Linked DNA regions of Xenopus tropicalis. The protein of the gene in region 3 purifies or fractionates together with the protein of the main gene of each other region. This does not show direct contact. Links are inferred from orthologs where the notes say so. Each region holds a gene or a part of one and is shown on either strand. Other genes may lie near its edges. The genes, in order: cask, lin7c and arhgef26.

Region 1 (6,864 bases), on a different chromosome or scaffold from region 3:
AGTTAAATGGACATTTAGGTTTCATTTAGCTTTTTTTTTACCATGCCTTTCTCCATTGCTTTAATAGGAAAGAAGGAAGCCTTATAAAAGCCAATCGGTGGCAGCCCTTACTAGCCTCCATGGATTGCTTTATACTATCCCCAATACATCTTCAGTCCATTAAGGGAACATTTATGATTGCTTGAACCTTTTGGCTTGAGCAATCAAGGGAAACCCTGTGTGAGTTGAGGGTTTCAGGGGAAAATACCTTAAGGTGGCCACACACGTGGCGATCTGCAATCCGATTCAGCCCTGATGGCAGATTTTGCTCAGGCGCCTTCTATGGCGCCCGATCAAAATCTTTTGACCTGGCCGATCGGCGAGTCGACCGATATGAGCAGCCTCCTGCGATACCAGTCAACTCGCCGACTTGCCATACACACACCGAATATCGTACGAAACGAGGTTTCGTACGATATTATCGGTGCGTGTATGGCCAGCTTTAGTTAGTTGAGGTTAAATAATAAATGCCTGAAACTTTTTATTATTTAAGAAAGCCCACTTAGGGGAAAAAAAAAGCTCAACCAACAAATCATTTTTACCTGAAACCCTATGTGAGTTCCTTTGATTGCTCTAGCCAAAATGCTTAGGCAATCATAAATGTGCCCTTAAGTCACACACACTCCTTCATAAGCTACTGAGACTTTAGTAATTAGCATAAATTAAGGAGCCTTCATTAGCTTTATCCATCCATAGATCGTGAACCTGAACTGATTACCTAATATCTAATGTAATCCAGTTAGAAGCATGCTGCAGAATGTGTTGGCTGGAAGATGTTTTTTACATTATAGCTAAAAAGTTGTGCAGCATGTGGCTTTAAAGGAACAGTAACACCAAAAAATAAAAGTACTTTAAAGTAATAAAAATGCACTGTTGCCCTGCACTGGTAAAACTGGTGTGTTTGCTACAGTAACACTACTATAATTTATATAATAAGCTGCTGTGTAGCCACGGGGGCAGCCATTCAAGCTGGAAAAAAGGAGAAAAGGCACAGGTTACATAGCAGATAACAGATAAGTTCTGTAGAATACAATAGTGTTTTATCTGTTATCTGCTATGTGCCTGTGCCTTTTCTCCTTCAAATGGCTGCCCCCATACTACACAGCAGCTTATTTATATAAATTATAGTAGACTTTCTGAAGTAAACGCACAACTTTTATCAGTGCAGGGCAGCAGCACATTATATTTTAGTTACTTTTATACACTTTAAATTTTTGGTGTTACTGTTCCTTTAATACAGACAGATAACACTTGCAGCATTTTATTCAGAGTCCTACCGGTTGTGCCAATCATGCTCTTGATGTACTGTCCTGGGTTAACATGTACTGGGGCCATATATCCTAAATCCCGGGTGATTAGTTAATTTGCAGAAACAAGTTACCACTGGGTTTCACTGCAGCCATGCTGTATGCAGCAAAATACATTATTAGCCAGGCAGCGTTGATTTGGATTCATATGTTTCTGGCTTTACAGAATGAGGCAACAACCTTAATCCACTGCATCTTTAAGTGATTCAGTAGGTTGGAGAACCTATCAAACAATATCTTTATTCTGTTAGTTTTATACTCAGCAGAGGAGCGGGTAGAGAGTGAGACTTTTGGTTTTACAAAGAAAAAAATCACATTGTACAAGGTGTTGTGTCAAATTCGATCTTTCTATGAAAAAAGTCAGACCCTTAAGGTGGGCATATACTGTGCAGTAGTACCATTGTAATGTTCTGTTCCTTTGGTACAACCACCTGGCAATTTGGAAGAGCAGGAAATGTGTAGGGAGAGCTGTATCTTTTCTCTTCCTGTCAACTGACTGAAGGAAATCTCTAATTGGCCACACAACTTGAAATACATGCCCAGTAAACTCGAAGAAAGGAATGCCCACTTAGAAACAACTAGGCTATGATTTGGTGCCTTACAGCATGAAATACGTAAGACTTTTATGGACATGTAAACGTTAATATATATGTTTTATTTGACCTGAGCCTGTCACGTTGGATCTTTGAGTGCCTGCTCATCTTCTGTATATGCATGCCCAACTGGTCGGGCAGTACTGATATGTGGGTTGACTATTTGTCGACCTGCAACAGACCCTAACCTGCCCCACTTCCACCCATGCCCGAACTGGCCCTCAGCTTTGCATCTATTTTTACGGACCTGGACTCGACCTGACATCACTGAGGGGATGGGGCAGGCAAGTGCTTATAAATAGCTAACACCAGACCTGCGCACACCTGTGACCCACAAGTTGGGTGGGTTTGAAATTGGCCAAAACGCTATACTAAATATGGGCATGATGTGCCTTCTGAGCACCAGAAATTAAGGTTGTGTTGCTCTCCATATAATGGATTTTTTTTTTGCTTTGTAACAATAGTTAATAAAGCAAAGTATCAGAAGTTGGTTGTTTGTGTAGCAGAGGGTTAACAATAGTGTTTTCTTCCTCACTGTCTAATGGTAGTTGTTTGTTTTATAACATGGTTCTGTATAAAAGTATATTGTTTATTTGATAAAGGAAAAGGATTCTGTTTGAAAAGCTCATGTAGAATCTAGGCCATTTGAAGCTTAGTACAGGTATGGCATCTGTTATCTGAAATGCTTGGGACATTGGGTTTTCTAAATTATGAATCATTTCGTAACTTGGATCAACATGATAGGATTCCTTTCACTGCAACAGAACCCCTTTAAGTCTGCTTAAAAACCATTAAACATGAAATAAACCAAAGAAGCCACCAATATGGATTCATGCAGTTTAGGTACATCAAGTACAAGGTACTGTTTTATTACTATAGGGAAAAAGGAAATCATTTTAAAAAATTAAAATTATTTGCTTAAAATGACATCACGGATTTCTAGATAACCGATCCCATACCTGTACTAAATATTGAGATTTTTTTTCTCACTTTTTAATATTACTTTGCAGGATGAGTCTCTTCAGCGCCTGCAGAAGGAATCGGAAATCCTCCAGAGAACATACGCACACTACTTCGATCTTACGATTATCAACAATGAGATTGACGAAACGATTAGGCACCTGGAGGACGCCATCGAGCTTGTGTGCACAGCACCGCAATGGGTTCCCGTATCCTGGGTCTATTAGACCACTCTCAAGATAACTGTCAGCATTTTATTACTTCAGACCACCTTGTGCAGTACTTGGAGAAACCTCTCGTTGACTTTTTCAACCATTCTTGGCCCCTAGAGACTACCTATATGTAGTGTGGCATAAATTTATAATTATCGTCATGTCCTATTAGATGGAAAAGAAACCTAAGCAAATTTTAATGCTAATTTAAAGAGACAGTATCTTTTTTACCTTTTGATTTATCCTAGATTGTATTAAAATAACATTTTTGAAATATATGCATTAATCAATTGTTTGGAATGTTATATTTTTGGAAACCATTGGGTTTTTTTTTTTTGTTTCAAAGGCCTCTGAAAACTGCACAAAATGATATGCTGCTTTCTATTATCTATTTTAATAATGTAAACATTTGAGTTTTTCTTTTACCAGGGGTGTCACACTACATTCTTCTGAGAGTCTTAGGTCAAAAATCAGATTAGCAAAGGCACTATTTAATTTATTGGAATAATATAGCCTGCATCTATTAAAGTGTGAATTTCCATGTCACAATGCCCTTTTTATTTTAGATGGAAAAAAACCCTTTACTGCATACCGCTTTTATTTGATACTGTCTCTTTGAAGAAATCTGTAAACTATTAGAGATATGAAATCGGGTCTTAATGCATGTGGACAGTCGCAAGCGTTTATACTGTTGGTGTATCTGTGTTGAACAAAGCTGTAACCTACTTACAGAAACATACATTCCGTTCATGGGAAGTCGTACCCCAAGGGAACTGAATACAATGAATATAACCAAGTTGTAAACCTATGCACATCCCTTGCATTTTGGGCAACTTTATAAGAAAAAAAACAGAGAGAAATGATTTTTATTATTAATCATGTAGTGAAATGTGTTTGTAACTTTGTCTCAATTTAATTTGTTGTAAACAGGAGGGTAATGACTGATTCTTTTGCCATTTCAGATCCGTGTTTGTCTGAGAGTATTAACGTTTTAATTCAGTTGAAACAGAGAAATGCTCTTTGTTTTTTGTTTTTAATGCGTATCTAATTGTGACAAAATGCACAAGTTTTCCGAATGTGCGCAAGGCGGTTGGGGATTCCTATCAAGTAAATATCCCATAGGTTCTATTTAATGAAGAAAAAAAAAGAAAAAAAAAAAGCCCTGTAAATTCTTCAGAAAAAAATGAAAAATGATTATAGTCTGACCAATATTTTATTATTTTTTTTAAATATACTTCCTTTTATGTGTTCCATAATAAAAATGCCTTTGGGTCATTCATTATTCATCAACATGGCTGGGAAATAAACCTGTCTTAATTCTGGTAATGCGTTGGATGATTGTATAGTTAGTCTAGTGATTGCATAGTGTGTTTGCTCCGAGGAAGCCGCCGTCGCTAGGCAAGACTTCTCTCTTCCATTTGCTCAATACAATCATTGAAATATGAAGCACAAGTGTATATGTTTAGGCACAATGAGATGAACTGCAGCTGTGAATGAAACTCAATTTCATACTTTTGAGCGATTTAAAGAAAATCTCTACAGTCAATAATATGTAGTAAATAAAGGGTTAGTTTTATTTATATTCTTTCAAGGCTAAGACAAGTCAATTTTTAAACCACATTTATATGGGGTCTTCCGGTAATCACTTTCTGACTGAGCTATACGTCAGTATATTCTCTTCATATGAAGGTTTTATCCATATTACTGTATTCTCTCTCTTTATTGGTAAGGGCAGTGTCCATGGCCAAACAGAATTATATCTAAGGACCAAGTATAGGTGAGAAAATGTGTTTTATTTTGTTTGCCTACCAATGCCGATGCTTCTGTTCATGTGAAACTGGTACTGTATAACTGTGCCGTTGCCCAGTGTGTTTGCCTAAAGCTTCTTCCAAATGGTACGGTCTAAAGTTCTTTCTTTTTAAGAGATCAAGTCCTGTTGAATGTGGTTTTTTATCTTCTGGCCATACTGTGTTACACACCAATTGTGATTGTCTTCATTAAACACTTGGGAATTTTTTTTTTTTTTATAATGTCTTACTGAAAACACCACATTTAACTGGGGTAACCATTCATTTAGGGGTTTGCTAGAATGAGTCTCCTGCGAGACCTGTTTGACATAGGAAACATATCAATAACATTATCTAATATCAAAGCCTCTCCTCCGCAATGATTTTATAACTGTGTCGCAAGGAGACACTACTGGTGCTAGAGAAAATATATATATATATATTTCATGCTTTTGCTCAGTAGGTTTGTTTTTAATACATCGATATCTTCCAAACCCAGGGAAGTCCAGCCTGCCACCCATAGCTGTTACTAAGAACTGCAGTTCAGCAGTAGCTGGAGATTGGACGGCCCTCTTCTGACCTACGTCTGGTTTTATTGTTTTAAAATGTTGCCAAGAAAATGTTTCCAGTGCCTGTTTATAATCCTATAACATAGACTTTATATCCATGTTAATTATTTCAAATGTACGATCATAGCATTTCACTAGCCGTCGCTTCCACATACCTTTGTTTTATTGCATGTTGGGAAATCTGTCATCGCTTTGATCGTAGCCAAGACAAAGGGCTATATGTCATTTAATTGTGCATATAAATGAAAGATTAATTGAACATCAGCCCTTCTGCCATAACAAATTAACGTGTGGTCCAGTTCGTTCTTTCAACTTCCACACCAGTAATTTCTGGAAGTAAACTGTGAACATGGGTGGCATTATTTTTATTGAATACCAGTTGTTTTGTGAAAAGTATGTACATCTGACTAAAGCATATGGGTAACAAATATCTTAATCCGTTCTAGAAGTCTCAACTGTACATAATGAATTATAAAGGAAGAAACAGACACTGTTACTTTGTAAAATTGGTTAATTGGCATTAAACCAGGTAAAATATCGTTGTAAAATGTTATCCCTGTGTGCAGTTTTCTGTGCAGCGTTGTCATTTCATTAAAAAAATGTATGTGCACATAAAATAAAAAGCCCAGCTAGTGTATGTATTTTATATGTATATCATTCTATACATTTATCTACTGAGAACCCTCCCCCCCCCCCACAAAGAATAAGTTTGAATGCTGACCATTATGACGGAATCCCAGCCATATAGCTAATAAGTTCAATAAACACACTACAGTCCTCCTCTCCCATCAGACAATGAAGTGGTATAGCAATAGGGTACTCTGCATAAGTTCTTACATAGTTTCACATTGTTTTTAACTCACACTAATACATGGAAAGTACCTTTTATTGGCTAATTTAGTTGACTCTAAAATGCAAGATTAACTTAGATCCCTTCTTGAGAACTGGCAGAAGGTTGGATTACAAAGAGTGGTGGAAAATAGAACATTTTCTAATTGGGCCAGTGTTATCAGTGGAGTACCGCAGGGGTCAGTCCTTTGCCTTTTAGCTTGTTTATTAATGACCTGGAGTTGGGCATAGAAAATACTCTTTCTATTTCTACTGATGATACTAAATTGTGCTAAACACAGTATGCTGCATCACAGAACGATTTGATAAAATTGGAAATCTGGGCAGGAAAATGAGGTTTATTGCAAAGTTATGCACTTTGATAGAAATAATATAAATGCAAGTTATACACTAAGGGGCTGATTTACGAAGACACAAATTTGAATCCGCATTGGAAAAATTCCGATTGGAAAACGAACATTTTGCGTATTTTTGCGATTTTTTTCGGCGCCTTTACGACTTTTCGGAAATTGTCGCAACTTTTTCGTTACCAATACGATTTTCGCGAA
Region 2 (7,125 bases), on a different chromosome or scaffold from region 3:
TCAGCCAAAAACCCTATTGCTCTGTGAGGCTCCAAGTTTATTATTATTGTTACTTTTCATTCATTCTCTCTCTATGCAGCCCCATCCCCTATTCATATTGCAGTCTCTCACTCACAGCGCTGCCCTGCTTGTATATAGAATATTATTATATGTTATATAGGGATGCGCCGAATCCACTATTCTCAGATTCCACTGAACCCCAAATCCTTAATAAAAGATTCAGGCAAATACCGCACTGAATCCGCATATACAAATTAGGGTACGAAAGGGTTAAAGAGAACTGCGCGTGACACAAAAAATGTTCAACTTCCGTGTTTGTGACAAAAAGTCACTTGATTTTAGGAATTTGATTCGCCCAATCTGAATCCTGCTGAAAAAGGTTGAATGCCAATTCGCTACAGGGGCTGACCATTCAGCTTAAAGGGGTTGTTCACCTTTGAGTTAACTCTTAGGGGCCCATTCATTAAACCACAAATATTTTTTTTGTCACATAAATTCGTATTTTTTTAACTTGCAGAGTGCCACTGAGCCCTATGGGAGACTTTCCTTGGGCCGGGTTGGAGCTGCAGAGTGCCATTCTATATTTGGAGCTGCAGAGTGCCACTGAGCCCTATGGGAGAGGTTGGAGCTGCAGAGTGCCATTGAGCCCTATGGGAGACTTTCCTTGGGCCGGGTTGGAGCTGCAGAGTGCCATTGAGCCCTATGGGAGACTCCTTGGCCGGGTTGGAGCCTGCAGAGTCATGGCAGAGCCTTGGCCGAGAGTGCCATTGACCCTATGGGAGACTTTCTGGGCCGGGTTGGAGCTGCAGAGTGCCATTGAGCCTATGGGAGGCTTTCCTTGGGCCAGGTTGGAGCTGCAGAGTGCCATTGAGCCTATGGGAGACTTTCCTTGGGCCAGGTTGGAGCTGCAGAGTGCCATTGAGCCCTATGGGAGGCTTTCCTTGGGCCGGGTTGGAGCTGCAGAGTGCCATTGTGCCCTATGGGAGGCTTTCCTTGGGCCGGGTTGGAGCTGCAGAGTGCAATTGAGCCCTATGGGAGACTTTCCTTGGGCCAGGTTGGAAGCTGCAGAGTGCCATTGAGCCCTATGGGAGGCTTCCCTTGGGCCGGGTTGGAGCTGCAGAGTGCCATTGAGCCCTATGGGGAAGACTTCCTTGGGCCAGGTTGGAGCTGCAGAGTGCCATTGAGCCCTATGGGAGACTTTCCTTGGGCCAGGTTGGAGCTGCAGAGTGCCATTGAGCCCTATGGGAGACTTTCCTTGGGCCGGGTTGGAGCTGCAGAGTGCATTGAGCCTATGGGAGACTTTCCTTGGGCCGGGTGGAGCTGCAGAGTGCCATTGAGCCCTATGGGAGACTTTCCTTGGCCTGGAGCTGCAGAGTGCCATTGAGCCCTATGGGAGACTTTCCTTGGGCCAGGTTGGAGCTGCAGAATGCCATTGAGCCCTATACTTTCCTTGGGCAGGGTTGGAGCTGCAGGGTGCCATTGAGCCCTATCTTTCTTGGGCCAGGTTGGAGCTGCAGAGTGCCATTGAGCCCTATGGGAGACTTTCCTTGGGCCGGGTTGGAGCTGCAGAGTGCCATTGAGCCCTATGGGAGGCTTTCCTTGGCCAGGTTGGAGCTTTCCTTGGGAGCTGCAGAGTGCCATTGAGCCCTATGGGAGGCTTTCCTTGGGCCGGTTGGAGCTGCAGAGTGCCATTGAGCCCTATGGGAGGCTTTCCTTGGGCCGGGTTGGAGCTGCAGAGTGCCATTGAGCCCTATGGGAGACTTTCCTTGGGCCGGGTTGGAGCTGCAGAGTGCCATTGAGCCCTATGGGAGACTTTCCTTGGGCCGGGTTGGAGCTGCAGAGTGCCATTGAGCCCTATGGGAGACTTTCCTTGGGCCGGGTTGGAGCTGCAGAGTGCCATTGAGCCCTATGGGAGACTTTCCTTGGGCCGGGTTGGAGCTGCAGAGTGCCATTGAGCCCTATGGGAGACTTTCCTTGGGCCGGGTTGGAGCTGCAGAGTGCCATTGAGCCCTATGGGAGACTTTCCTTGGGCCGGGTTGGAGCTGCAGAGTGCCATTGAGCCCTATGGGAGACTTTCCTTGGGCCGGGTTGGAGCTGCAGAGTGCCATTGAGCCCTATGGGAGACTTTCCTTGGGCCAGGTTGGAGCTGCAGTGCCATTGAGCCCTATGGGAGACTTTCCTTGGGCCGGGTTGGAGCTGCAGTGCCATTGAGCCCTATGGGAGACTTTCCTTGGGCCGGGTTGGAGCTGCAGAGTGCCATTGAGCCCTATGGGAGACTTTCCTTGGGCCGGGTTGGAGCTGCAGAGTGCCATTGAGCCCTATGGGAGACTTTCCTTGGGCCAGGTTGGAGCTGCAGAGTGCCATTGAGCCCTATGGGAGACTTTCCTTGGGCCGGGTTGGAGCTGCAGAGTGCCATTGAGCCCTATGGGAGACTTCCAAAATCATATATTGAAGTTTCAAAGCCAGTTTACGATCGTTCAGAAGAGGGATGTGGGGTCGGTAGATAAATTCTCCGACTCCTCAGTTTCTGATACTTCCGACTCTGACTCCTCTGTTTTTAATATGTAAAAAAAATATGTATTTTATACATTCATAGAGGCAATGAAAAGCTTCATGGTCACTCAACGTGTTCGTTTATGCACTGCGTGCATTGGGCTTTATTCTTATAGCAGAGAAGTAATTAATTATTACTGTTTGTGAATTGGGACATTTAAACTTGCTTTATTTTTTATTCCCATTTAAATTTAGTCGGAGTCGGTTCATTTTTTTCCGACTCCAGGTACCCAAAATTGCCTCCGACTCCACAGCCCTGGTTCAGAAAGGAAAATTTCAGATCACAACCACAATATTTTCATACGAGAGGAGTGGTTTGGAACGAGGGACTGGAATATGAATAGTAGGGGGAATGAACAGAAACCTGAATAATAAAACAGTAACAATAAAACTGTAGCCTCACAGAGGGTCAGCGACCCCCATTTTAAATCTGCAAACACTTGGAAGAAGGAGGCAAATAATTCAAAAACTATAACAAATAAATAAATGGCTATTCCAGTTAATGAATGTATATGAGAAGGTTACATATGCCAACTCCTGTATTTGGCTTTACATCCCCTTTAAATTCTCGTGTGAAATAACAGTATGTTTTCCTTCATGTTTCCAGATGTGCACAGGGCCATCGAGCTGCTGGAGAAGCTACAGAGGAGCGGGGAGGTGCCGCCACACAAGCTGCACGCGCTACAGAGAGTCCTACAGAGTGACTTCTGCACCGCCGTCAGGGAGGTACGCACCATTCCCCCTAGGTCCCCCTAGAGTGCAAGCTCTCCAGCCCTGCTGTAGCAATGTGGGGCTATACACAAACATCACCCCTTGACTCTAAGGGTGAAGACACACAGAGCTACTAGTAGCAGCTACTTATCGTGGCTACTAAAATAGACAATGCTGATCTTTTACTGATAATTGTCTCTACATTGGGAGGGGATTTTCTGGTGTTTAGTAGCCATGAAAAGCTGCTACTAGTAGCTCCGTGTGTCTTCACCCTAATTGTTTTCCTGCATCCAGCGACACCCCACTTAGGCTGCCTGTGTGTGAGCACAGCTGGGAGCCCCCCTTCATGCTGGATATTTTGGGCTTAAAGGACAATAAAACCCTCTGACCTGTGCCTTAAATGTGCTGTGTATTATAGTACTACTACGCATCTGTCTTTTAGCCTATTCAGCGAATCACAGTAAAGGGCTGCTGTACGCTCTATTTTTCTGCTGCATTGTGCGCAATACAAGGGGTGTCTGTAGGGGGAGTACTTCTGTGCTATCCCTCAGCACAGGCTATGAGCTCAGTTTACTGCTTGCCCCTTGATGGCTTTTTGTCATGTAGTTATGTGCAAACTGTGCAACCTGTGGGTGTGGCCTAGGTCAGGTGGGTTAAGTCTGGGCGACCATTGCGGGTTCGGGATGGGTGTGGGTTAGACTATGGAAGTGCACTGTTCCCCTGATCCTGAAGTAGAGCATAGAGACGCAGGTTACAGGTTGGGTGCGGGTCCTACAATGGCAGCATTTTGCACGTTAGGGTCCGGTGCAGGTTGAGTTTTCCCTGATCACTGTGATGCTTCACTAAGGCTATAGGTGTTTTTTAAAGGGACAGTTGACCTTGAAACCCAGTGATCCCTTTAACCGTAGGATTTCTGGTGGCCAGAGTTCCAGGCCTGACTCATTAGGAAGCCTATGAAGTCACATTGCTGCCTGCGTTCACCTCTACATGTGAAACAGCCCCAACAGCAACTGTTGCATCTGACAGAGTCTTCATTTAACTTTTTCAGGTTTATGAACATGTTTATGAAACGGTGGATATCAGCAGCAGCCCAGAAGTGAGAGCTAATGCCACGGCGAAGGTGAGTAAGGCTTCGTTTCCTGTCTGTCTGTAGCGCCGTGCTTTAGCCACTAGATGGCAGCATGATACCACTGTTTCTTTGCATTACACATATATTGCTGTATTAATCTGGTCTTCATAGAGTTCTTATGTATTGCGTACGGACACACAGTTAGTCTGCATTCAACAGAAGATTTAGTTTAAACAACAGCATTCTAAGCGCGCAATCTTGTGTTTACTTAGACATTTTCTATACATTTAATTTTCAATAAAATTAACTTGTACACACAAACACGTGCGCCTATACATACCTACCGATACACTCGTGTATATATAAAACTATATATCTATACTCCATGTTTTTCAGGCTACTGTGGCTGCCTTTGCTGCAAGTGAAGGCCATTCCCACCCCCGAGTGGTGGAGCTCCCCAAAACAGAAGAGGGCCTTGGATTCAACATAATGGGGGGAAAAGAGCAGAACTCCCCCATCTACATCTCTCGTATTATTCCTGGTGGGATTGCAGACCGTCATGGAGGACTCAAGCGTGGGGACCAGCTGCTTTCTGTTAATGGCGTGGTATGAACATACCTCCTATGCTCGTATATTTCAAGCACTTCTAGGAATAGGCTGTAGCTAATAGGACATATGCTGCAAGCAAGGGGGGTAAATAGGGAAAATAATCATACTTGTACCCATTACACGTTATGAGCTGCTCCTGCTATTGAAAGTTCCATTCATCTAGCCACACCCCCAGGCAGGCCCAGACTAGCAATCTGTGGGTTCTGGCAAATGCCAAAGGGGCTGCTGTAAGATGCCATAGACAGTCACTATTTATTGGCCTGGTGGGGGGGGCTGTTTGGGCCTCTGTACTTGAAATGCCAGGGCCTATTTTGACTCCTAGTCCAGACCTGCCCCCAGTTACATGATTCAGGGCCCAGTGATGTCATAATTCCGCATTTAACCCCTGTTAGCCCAGAGCTCTGCTTGCGTTGCTGAATTACATTTGTGTTTCTGCTTTCACAGAGCGTGGAGGGCGAGCACCACGAGAAAGCCGTGGAACTTCTGAAAGCCGCTCAAGGGAAGGTGAAGCTGGTGGTCCGATACACGCCGAGGGTCCTGGAAGAGATGGAGTCCCGGTTCGAGAAAATGCGATCGGCCAAGCGCCGGCAGCAGAACTAGGCAAATGTGTCGGTAGACACAAGACACAAACTCTGAATTCCACTATCCAATAAATTTGTATTGACGTGAGAGGTACCGAGGCGCTGCTCCTTCCAGGCCCACCCTGTGCAGGTCTGCAGCCCCCCCCCCCCCCCCACCCACCACCACCACTACCAGAGCAACTGGTGCTTCTCGTTTTGCACACGGAGTCTCAATACCCAACCAGTCTTTCTAACGTAACGTTTACAGGGCAGTTTTTACTTACCCTCCTTTTTTTAAACCTCAAGAGAATTTTAAAACATTTTTAATACAGTGGCGTAATCCTAGGTTTGTAACGGCAATCTTTGTACTATTGCGATCCTCCATTGTCCTGTGCTTATCTGTATGGTGCAAGGGGCTCACGTCCCTCAGCGGGGGGTCTGTCTATAAGTGGGTGCAGGTTAGTAGCTGGGCAGATACTATAGCGCATCACATTTGTGATGTAAAGTGCAATGTTCTCATTAAGATTGTCTTGTTAATTGAATTGTCACAGACCTGCGTAATGTGAATCTGAGCAACCGAAACCCAAAATATATCCTGTAGAATCATTAGCCTGTCTGTCTTAAGCAAAAATGTGGGCAGCTTGAAAACACGCACACAGAAAGTTCTTTCTGCTTTGACTGCAGATACTGTTGGCGCCACTGGGTGGCAGTATAACGACAGCGAAATACACTACAATGTCTTAGCCCCAGGGATCTGCATTTGTATGGGAAATGTTTTGTTAGAAAATGCTGCAGTCCCTTTCCTTTCCTCTAGAGGGCAGTGTTTGTTTAGCTTTATTCTTTTTAACATTATAATTCACAATAGATTTAAGGCTAGAAAAGGCCCTATTGAGGGGGATTTGATTATTTAATAACCTGGTTGTGTGTATACGTTCATGAAGCTATCCCTAAAGCAGCTTTTAAATAGCAAATATATTGTGTTTATGGTGTGTTTATATGGCATTTATGTTACTTGTTTTGTCTATTTGCATCTGTTCAGAATGCGGGAGATGCTGTTTTGCTTCCCTGTCCCCAAAAGCATTTTTCATTGCTCGGTAGAGTGGCGACATAGCTTGGCCAGGGCAGTTTGCCTCTAGCCCTTGGGCTTATTGCCCTCACTCCAGTTACCATACACCATATAGACTGAGGAATGGGCAAGCTCAGAACAGTACACAGTAGTAGTAGTAGTTCACCTTTAAAGTAACTTTACAATTGGTCTTCTTTATTTTTTTTTAATTCAATTATTTGCGTTCCTAGTCTGTTTCGTTCCAGCTTTCAAATGGGGGTCACTGACCCCGGCAGCCAAAACACTATTGCTCTGTGATCTCATAATTTTATTGCTATTTATTTTTATTACTTATCTTTCTATTCAGGTCCCCTCCTATTCTTAGTCCGGTCTCACTACTGTCTGGTTGCTGGGGTAAATAAGACCCTAGCAACCAGATAGCACTTGAAATACCAAACTGGAGAGCTGCTGAACAAAAAGCTAAATAACTAAAAAAAAAAAAAAAAACTATGACATAAACAAAGACCAGCTGCAAATGGTCTTAGCATATCAATGTCTACATGAAACCAAAAGTTAAT
Region 3 (7,125 bases):
CTGGAGTGTAACAAAATGACATATTACTGTTTTAATGGCTGGACCCAGCATCATTTTCACTAACAAGACTCTGATATACAGCAGCACCCAAGTTTTTAGAGCGACACACATCGAGACAGGACCCAGCGCTTCGTAATGATTCCCATTAACTTTGGATGGGGTAATTTCTAGATAGTAATTGCCAATAACCATAGTCTGAAAGGACAGAACATGTTCCTTGGGGGGGGGGTCATCCCTTAGCATCTGTACATAGCCTTACCACTTACTAAAGTACAGATGTAGCTCAGTATTCATGGGGGGATGCAGAGCTCTGCATTCCATTTTGGAGCTCAGGGACCTGTGGCAATTACCGTTCTGCTGCCAAATCATATATGGAAATTAGGGATGCACCGAATCCAGGATTCGGTTCGGTATTTGGCCAGGATTTGGCCTTATTTCGAAGGGTTTGGAATTTTGGCCGAATCCACAGTCCTGACCAAACCGAATTCGAATTAGCATATGCTTACTAGGACTTGTAAGGGTTAAATGGCCACATAAACACGGAAGTGAAAAAAATTTCATCGCACGCGACATTTGTGGATCCTAATTAGCATATACTATGGGATAGATTTGGGGGTTTGGCCGAACCCGAAAAACTGGGTTTGGTGCATCCCTAATGGAATGGACTTATGTGACAAGGAGAGAGGGACGGTTCTGCCTGTCATGCCGGATGGTACCGCTAGCTTGGCCACATTTTTATATATAATATTATTATATGCATGCAGTACTTTACATATGAACAATTAAAATTGGACAATACCTTAATCTTAAATTCCAGCTGAGAATTGATTGTAACCATCATTTCCATCCTCTCCATTTTCCTTGCTCCTTCATTGCACAGACGGACCAGCTAGTAATAAGCAAAGGTAATACAGATGTAATTATCATAAACATATATCACATTTTTGTTTTTTTTGTTCAGCCTGAAGTTGACTGAAAAATACAATCATTAATTGGTTGCTATGGGTTACTGCCCATGTGCAAATGTACCCAATATTTATAAATAACCCAGAGTCTTTATTATTATTTTTTTTTTGTAGCCCCAAACAGAATGAAGCAGCCTCCCCAGTGACTTGAATGTAGATCTCCTGACATCACTCAGCAGTATTAAGGGCTATAGAGAAATTGTTCTTCATTCACACACCAATGCACACTACAGGATATTTCACTTTCAATCTGTCCATGTATTTTTCGAGCGTGAGATGAAATGGAAGTATCAAAAAGAAAACCACACACACACAGGCACAGGCAGAACATACAAACTCCTTGCAGAAAGTGAACCTAGGACTCTAACACTGTAAGGGTAATTTCTCAGAGACTACAGTATCGATTTAATCACATAGCTGAAAATGAATTACATGAAGGCATGTAAATACACAACCAAGGTCTCACGAAAAGGTAAGGAATTCAATAACTAAGAAAACTGCCTGGATTTAGTAACAGCAAGCAAAATGGTGTAGTCCAAGTACCTGCAGGCCTCAGAATATAAATCCTTAAAACTTCTTTGGTCTAAAAAGACATAGTACACCACTGGATGGTATGTACAATACCCTTGGGTGGTGATAAGTCTTAACATGTTTAAAATTTGGACTTGGTGCATATACTGTAACCCACATATAAGGCAGACACTGATTAAAAGTATCCAAGTTGTAACTAAGCTACAACTACAGACATGCAAATACTATAGAGAAGAGCTGATAAATGTAATTTTCCAAAGCATATGGACAGCCTGATTCATAATATTACTATAAAATATTCACTTTTATGTCTAACAGAGCAATTGCTAGTCGTTATACATGAACTCATTTACACCATGTAAAGGCACACTTAGGGGCCCATTTAAAGATTTGTTTCAGGCCTTGAAACACTATATGGTATAAATTTGAAGTAACCACGATAATTTCTGTAGTTCTAAAATGTCTCGACAATGCTTTCATCATTTGTACGAAAATATTGTGTTCTGAAAAGTTCATAAACGCCACGAAAACAGTTCTGGCTCAGTGGCACTCGACAGATCAAACCTGTCAAAAATATAGTCCCGATGAAAGTGTAACCAAAGCGTTAACGAATTCCGAAATGTTCATATTCTTTGCGCAAAGTACGTTTTTTTTGTGGAAATTTACCAAAAACCACAAAAAACTTGTGGAATTTTAAGGAAATTTTCGTGTACACTCCAAAATGTTCATAATTTAGAAAAAATATGAATTTATCTGAAAATTGTTTAGTAAATGGGCCCCTTAGCTTGCAGTATAACATCTCTGCACTACATACTAACATATCCATTAATGTTTATGGAAAGGTCGGCATTTGGATACAAGCCAAGTATAGGTTTAAATAAATGTATGTCTTACTGGGCACTAGAATGCAACAATTGAAATTCTACCGATATTCTTACAAACAATTAAGAACTTTGGCACTTACCTTCCCAACTTCTTTTAGAGCATGCTTACTTGCCTCATACTTAGCAGACTCTTTTGGGGTTTTCTGACATATTGTCTGGAATGAAATATTCTTAGTGTTACATTCTGCATTCTCTACGTGCTCAGCTAAAAATAAGCAAATTCAAATTACAAGATCTTTAACAGAAAACTATTATAGTTTGCCCTTGTTAAACGTTGAGGAACTAGAGTAACAGACTGGAATAATTCTAGCCAACTTCATGACCATAAAATGTAAGGCATTATTATTTATTTCAAACTCTGATGATTAGTCTTTCAGTCTAATAGAATATGGTACAAAGGAAATGCAAAAATGACACTTTGGGCAAGGTCGTTGGAGTCCCTGTAGACAGAGTAGAAAGCAGGGTTGATAACATATTGCTACTGTTAGGGCTCTGGCACACGGGGAGATTAGTCACCCGCAACAAAACTCCCTGTTCGCGGGCGACTAACCTCCCCGGATTGCCATCCCACCGGCAAAAATGTAAATCGACGGTGGGATGGCATACGCGGCGGCGCGATTTCACTAATCTCCCCGTGTGCCAGAGCCCTAATGATGTATGGCAGTTTGGACACTAGAGCATCAAAGTCTGTTTTTATATAGGATCAGTCTCTAGCTCTTTAGAAGATCTTAACATTTACAGTGTCGCCAGCAAGAGAATTGTAACCAAAGTGATCTGAAACACCAAGCAATAATTAAATGAATATATCAACTACAAAACCTGCTTTTTTATTACAGCCCATTCCAGGTGTTGATAACAACTTCCTGCCTGTCTCTGTTAAATGCTCTTTTAACTGGTAGACCAAGTCGTCTACCATATACCCTCTTTTATGATTACAGTCATTACCAGCTTGCGGGAATCTCTTATGGCCACAATGGAATACACTCTGCTAAACTAACAAACTCTGCACTCTAGATGAACTGCTTGAGGTAGGTTTCATTTTAAAGGCTGAACTCAACATAAGAGTGCCTTTTTTTAATCTAAATGACTATGTTACTGTGTAGATTCATGTTACTATGTGGTTATCAGAATGCTTCTGAGACACTTGTGCTTGAATAATTCTAATAATGTATTAAAGTTTGAACAGTTGCACAATATAAAGGATAGGCTGTGGAATTTTTAGATTGATTTTATGATATGAACTTTGTGTGCTATTTTTTAAATATAAAGATAATGATTGAATGCATCAGTAGATCTACATAAGCAGAGATAGCCTCTCAGACTACAGAGCACATGAATACTATGCCAGGAATTCATCAATTTGCAGAGCGGGTTTTTATATTTATCTTGTGGGATTAATTCAATATTACACTATCAGCGGTTGTTTGTGCCTGCACTCCGTGAGTTACTCATTTGTTCACAATAATGTGCCTCTACATGAAATGTAATGTATCTTTGAAATGCTTACATCCATGAGGAGAGGAAGGCGAGTCACTCTCTGCATAGGAAGGATAAGGAAAGAGATCATTGGAAGATTCCTGCACTCTTCATGCGATTCAATTTTAGACAGCGCTTCTTTGAAAGATGAATTGGTCAATCTGTATTAGCAAGATAAATATCATTAGTGAACTATTTTGAGACAAACAAAAACATTAAAGGGGAACTCCACCCAAAAACAACTTAAGCTTTTTGAAGAGCAAACATAATTTTAGGCAACTTTGCAATATACATCAGTTAAAAAATTTGCAGCCTTTTCATGATTTTTCATTTAATAATATGGTTTGGAACGGTTACCTAAGCCCTGCCCCCAGTTCTGCAGATCTGGCTGTTACACCAGTCGACTATCCTCAGCCTGCATCCTCTAAATCCCCCAATTCCCTGCACACTTAGGGGTATATTGATCATGCAGTGTAAAAAGTGGAGTAAAACAACACCAGTGATGTTGCCCATAGCAGCATCAGATGTTTTGCTTTATTTTCTAATTGTTGAAATCTAATTGCTGATTGGTTGCCCTCGGCAACATCACCGGTAATGCTTCACTCTACTTTTTACACAGCATGATAAATATAACCCTTAATGTCAATAAGGAAAGGAATATTGCAGTGCAGTGCATTGTGGGGTATGTAGTTCCTACATGATGCCTGTAAGCTGCGGAAAATGTGTTAGGATTTGTAACATCAGTGTTTTAGTCCCTCCTCCCATGGCAGAATTTCGAATTAGGCATGTACTGAATCCAGGATTCGGTTTGGGATTCAGTGAAGATTCAGTGAAGATTCAGTGAAGATTTGCCGAATCCAGGTGTCTGGTCAAACCGAATCCTTAAAATCACATGACTTTTGGTCATGAGAACACAGAAATTAAAGAAAAAATTAGGCGTGCTTCTACTTAACCCTTCCTTAGCCTTATTTGGGCATGCAAATTAGGATTCGGAGTTGGTTCGGTATTCAGCTGAATCTTTCACAAAGGATTTGGGGTTTGCCTGATACCAAAAATAATGGATTCAGTGCATCACTGTTTCAAACGATGATATACCTATTACAGTATATTAGGGGTTTCTGTGTTGTGCAGGGCTCTTTAACAAATTTTGGGTCTGAAGCCAGAGTTCTCCTTTAACATTTAAAATATAGACAGTTGGTAGAACAGTTGGCAGACTGTCTAAAGTCTAAAGCCTTTGGTTATGAGCCACTTTAGCTAATAATATGGTTCTAAAGAAAAATATCAGTGTCTTTCTGTAGTTCCCAAGTTCCAAGAGTTCTAGGACAACAATAAATTTTTCACCCTAACTGTGGAGCTTTTAGAGGCATCTAGAAGAGCAAACAGACAGAGTCCCCAAATCTTACACAACCTGTTCTACAGCCTGAGCCTCCTGCCAAGACCCTCTGTTTTAGATACATTTGGACATTTGATCATAAAATCAAGGACATAAACATTAACAAAAAATTCCCCTTAGTATAAACAGCATGTTATATTTGTTACGCCTGCTTTAATCTGCCCAGGCAGAAAATGATAGACTGCTCAGGATATAGGAAAATAAAACACTACATAACTGCATGGAGCGGTGAAAACCTCCCACCCCCAACAAAAACAACCAATAAAATAATGAGGAAAGTTATAGATCTACTGCCACGTCCTCATACATTAATCTCTGCAGCGTCCTTTGCTGGTAGACTTCATTAGTGCAATACTTCACGTAGGGATCGAATGTTGCCTTGGCATGCTTTTCAACAATATCACTAATGTCTTCTATAAGAATGTTCCTTTGATGTCTTCCTTCCAGCTCTTTAAAAAACCTGTACAACAAAACAAAACTCTAAGTTATTGTTAAGGAGAACATAGAGGAGGAGGAGTTAGGAAATTGGGTAATGCTATTTTATTTACAGGCCTTACAGCTTAAAGTCACTAATTACAAGTTAAATGAAAGCACCTGTACTTGACACTTAATGGTCTATTTTCCATGCAGCGGAAGATGAATGTCTGATACCTGGCACAATTATTCAAATAATAATAAAAAGGAAGAAGCAAGATATTATATTACAGCTATGTCGCTGGTTGCCAAGCACAATGTTTATTCATGCTAATCCCCATCGTAACTATGATGTTGAGTAATAGGAGCAGCTCTGAGGCACAGCACAGGCAGCATTTGCAGAACATTAAGTTCTTTTGGTCTTTTTGGAGGTTCCAAAGGACATTTAAAAATACTTATTGAAAAAAAAAAAAGATAACCATCTAAAATTAAGATATTTTTCACATTAAAGCTTATTTATAAATATACTAAATGGAGTATAAAAGGAATTATAAGAATTAGGTTTGTGTTATATATAAGGAATGTTTTGTTGTTAGGAATATTATATCATGTAGAACTATATAAAGTAATGTTAGACTCATTTATACTTTATGGTAAACCACTGAGAAGAAGCTAGTGCTCTGGATAATCCTGGATGACAAGGTTTAGTCCACATTCTGAATGTCAGTTTTAGTCCTTATAATGTTACATCTATTGATAAAACAAATCTTTAGTTTATCATCTTTAAGACCACAAAATATCAAACCTTACAATATGCAAGTCTTTATGACTCTCTACTGTATAAGGTTGTGATCAAATGGATAATTTTGTTAAAGTCACTCAAATTGTGAGTAACTTGAGCATACAGGAACAGAGACACCAGTGAGTATCAGCTGAGACACCAACTCAGGTATTCAAGAGGACATAACCTCCCAAAGTCAATTTTAAGTCACTAGGATGTAACTTTGTCACTTTGTATAGTATGGGCTCAGTATTTGATGGTGAGTTAATGGGCATTTCTATAGTGCCTGAAATGTTAGCTATGCATTCAGAATATCACCTATTGTTATACTGACCAGTCCCACTTAATCTTTATGTTTCCTACTTTCCTATGGTTTCCTTTAAATACCAGGTGACTAATAATTCCCCACTTGGCCAGAGATATTAAGAGAGATGGCCAGAGATGTCTAAGCAGCCAAGTGTTCCTTCCGTATTCATTTTGAAGTCCAACTAGGAATTGGCAAATACGTGTACAAAGCGTCCTGTGAAGCAAAATATACTCAGATCTGAGGCTTATAAAGTTAGACTGACTGGGCAACATGGCAGATGGAATAATTGAATTTGTCAGATGAAGTTTATAATTGTCATAAAAACTCATACATGTCATTTCCCAAGACCAAACTAAGATAAAAGTCTGTGTGTT

The links.
Region 1: the proteins of arhgef26 (region 3) and cask purify together in Homo sapiens (affinity purification with mass spectrometry; 3 studies listed by BioGRID and IntAct, with this or other methods). This does not show direct contact. The link is inferred for Xenopus tropicalis from reciprocal best matches to the Homo sapiens genes ARHGEF26 and CASK.
Region 2: the proteins of arhgef26 (region 3) and lin7c purify together in Homo sapiens (affinity purification with mass spectrometry; 3 studies listed by BioGRID and IntAct, counting the BioPlex papers as one, with this or other methods). This does not show direct contact. The link is inferred for Xenopus tropicalis from reciprocal best matches to the Homo sapiens genes ARHGEF26 and LIN7C.

What each region holds. Positions count from the first base shown.
Region 1 is NC_030678.2:56,649,602-56,656,465, forward strand, and holds the end of cask (peripheral plasma membrane protein CASK), read left to right. Parts: intron 1-2,949; coding exon 2,950-3,126; 3' UTR 3,127-4,258; downstream 4,259-6,864. UniProt on the Homo sapiens protein: Multidomain scaffolding Mg(2+)-independent protein kinase that catalyzes the phosphotransfer from ATP to proteins such as NRXN1, and plays a role in synaptic transmembrane protein anchoring and ion channel trafficking.
Region 2 is NC_030680.2:21,042,112-21,049,236, forward strand, and holds part of lin7c (protein lin-7 homolog C), read left to right. Parts: intron 1-3,160; coding exon 3,161-3,279; intron 3,280-4,312; coding exon 4,313-4,384; intron 4,385-4,729; coding exon 4,730-4,939; intron 4,940-5,386; coding exon 5,387-5,542; 3' UTR 5,543-7,125. UniProt on the Homo sapiens protein: Plays a role in establishing and maintaining the asymmetric distribution of channels and receptors at the plasma membrane of polarized cells.
Region 3 is NC_030681.2:116,987,268-116,994,392, forward strand, and holds part of arhgef26 (rho guanine nucleotide exchange factor 26), read right to left. Parts: intron 5,710-7,125; coding exon 5,557-5,709; intron 4,018-5,556; coding exon 3,888-4,017; intron 2,536-3,887; coding exon 2,461-2,535; intron 890-2,460; coding exon 800-889; intron 1-799. UniProt on the Homo sapiens protein: Activates RhoG GTPase by promoting the exchange of GDP by GTP. Required for the formation of membrane ruffles during macropinocytosis. Required for the formation of cup-like structures during trans-endothelial migration of leukocytes.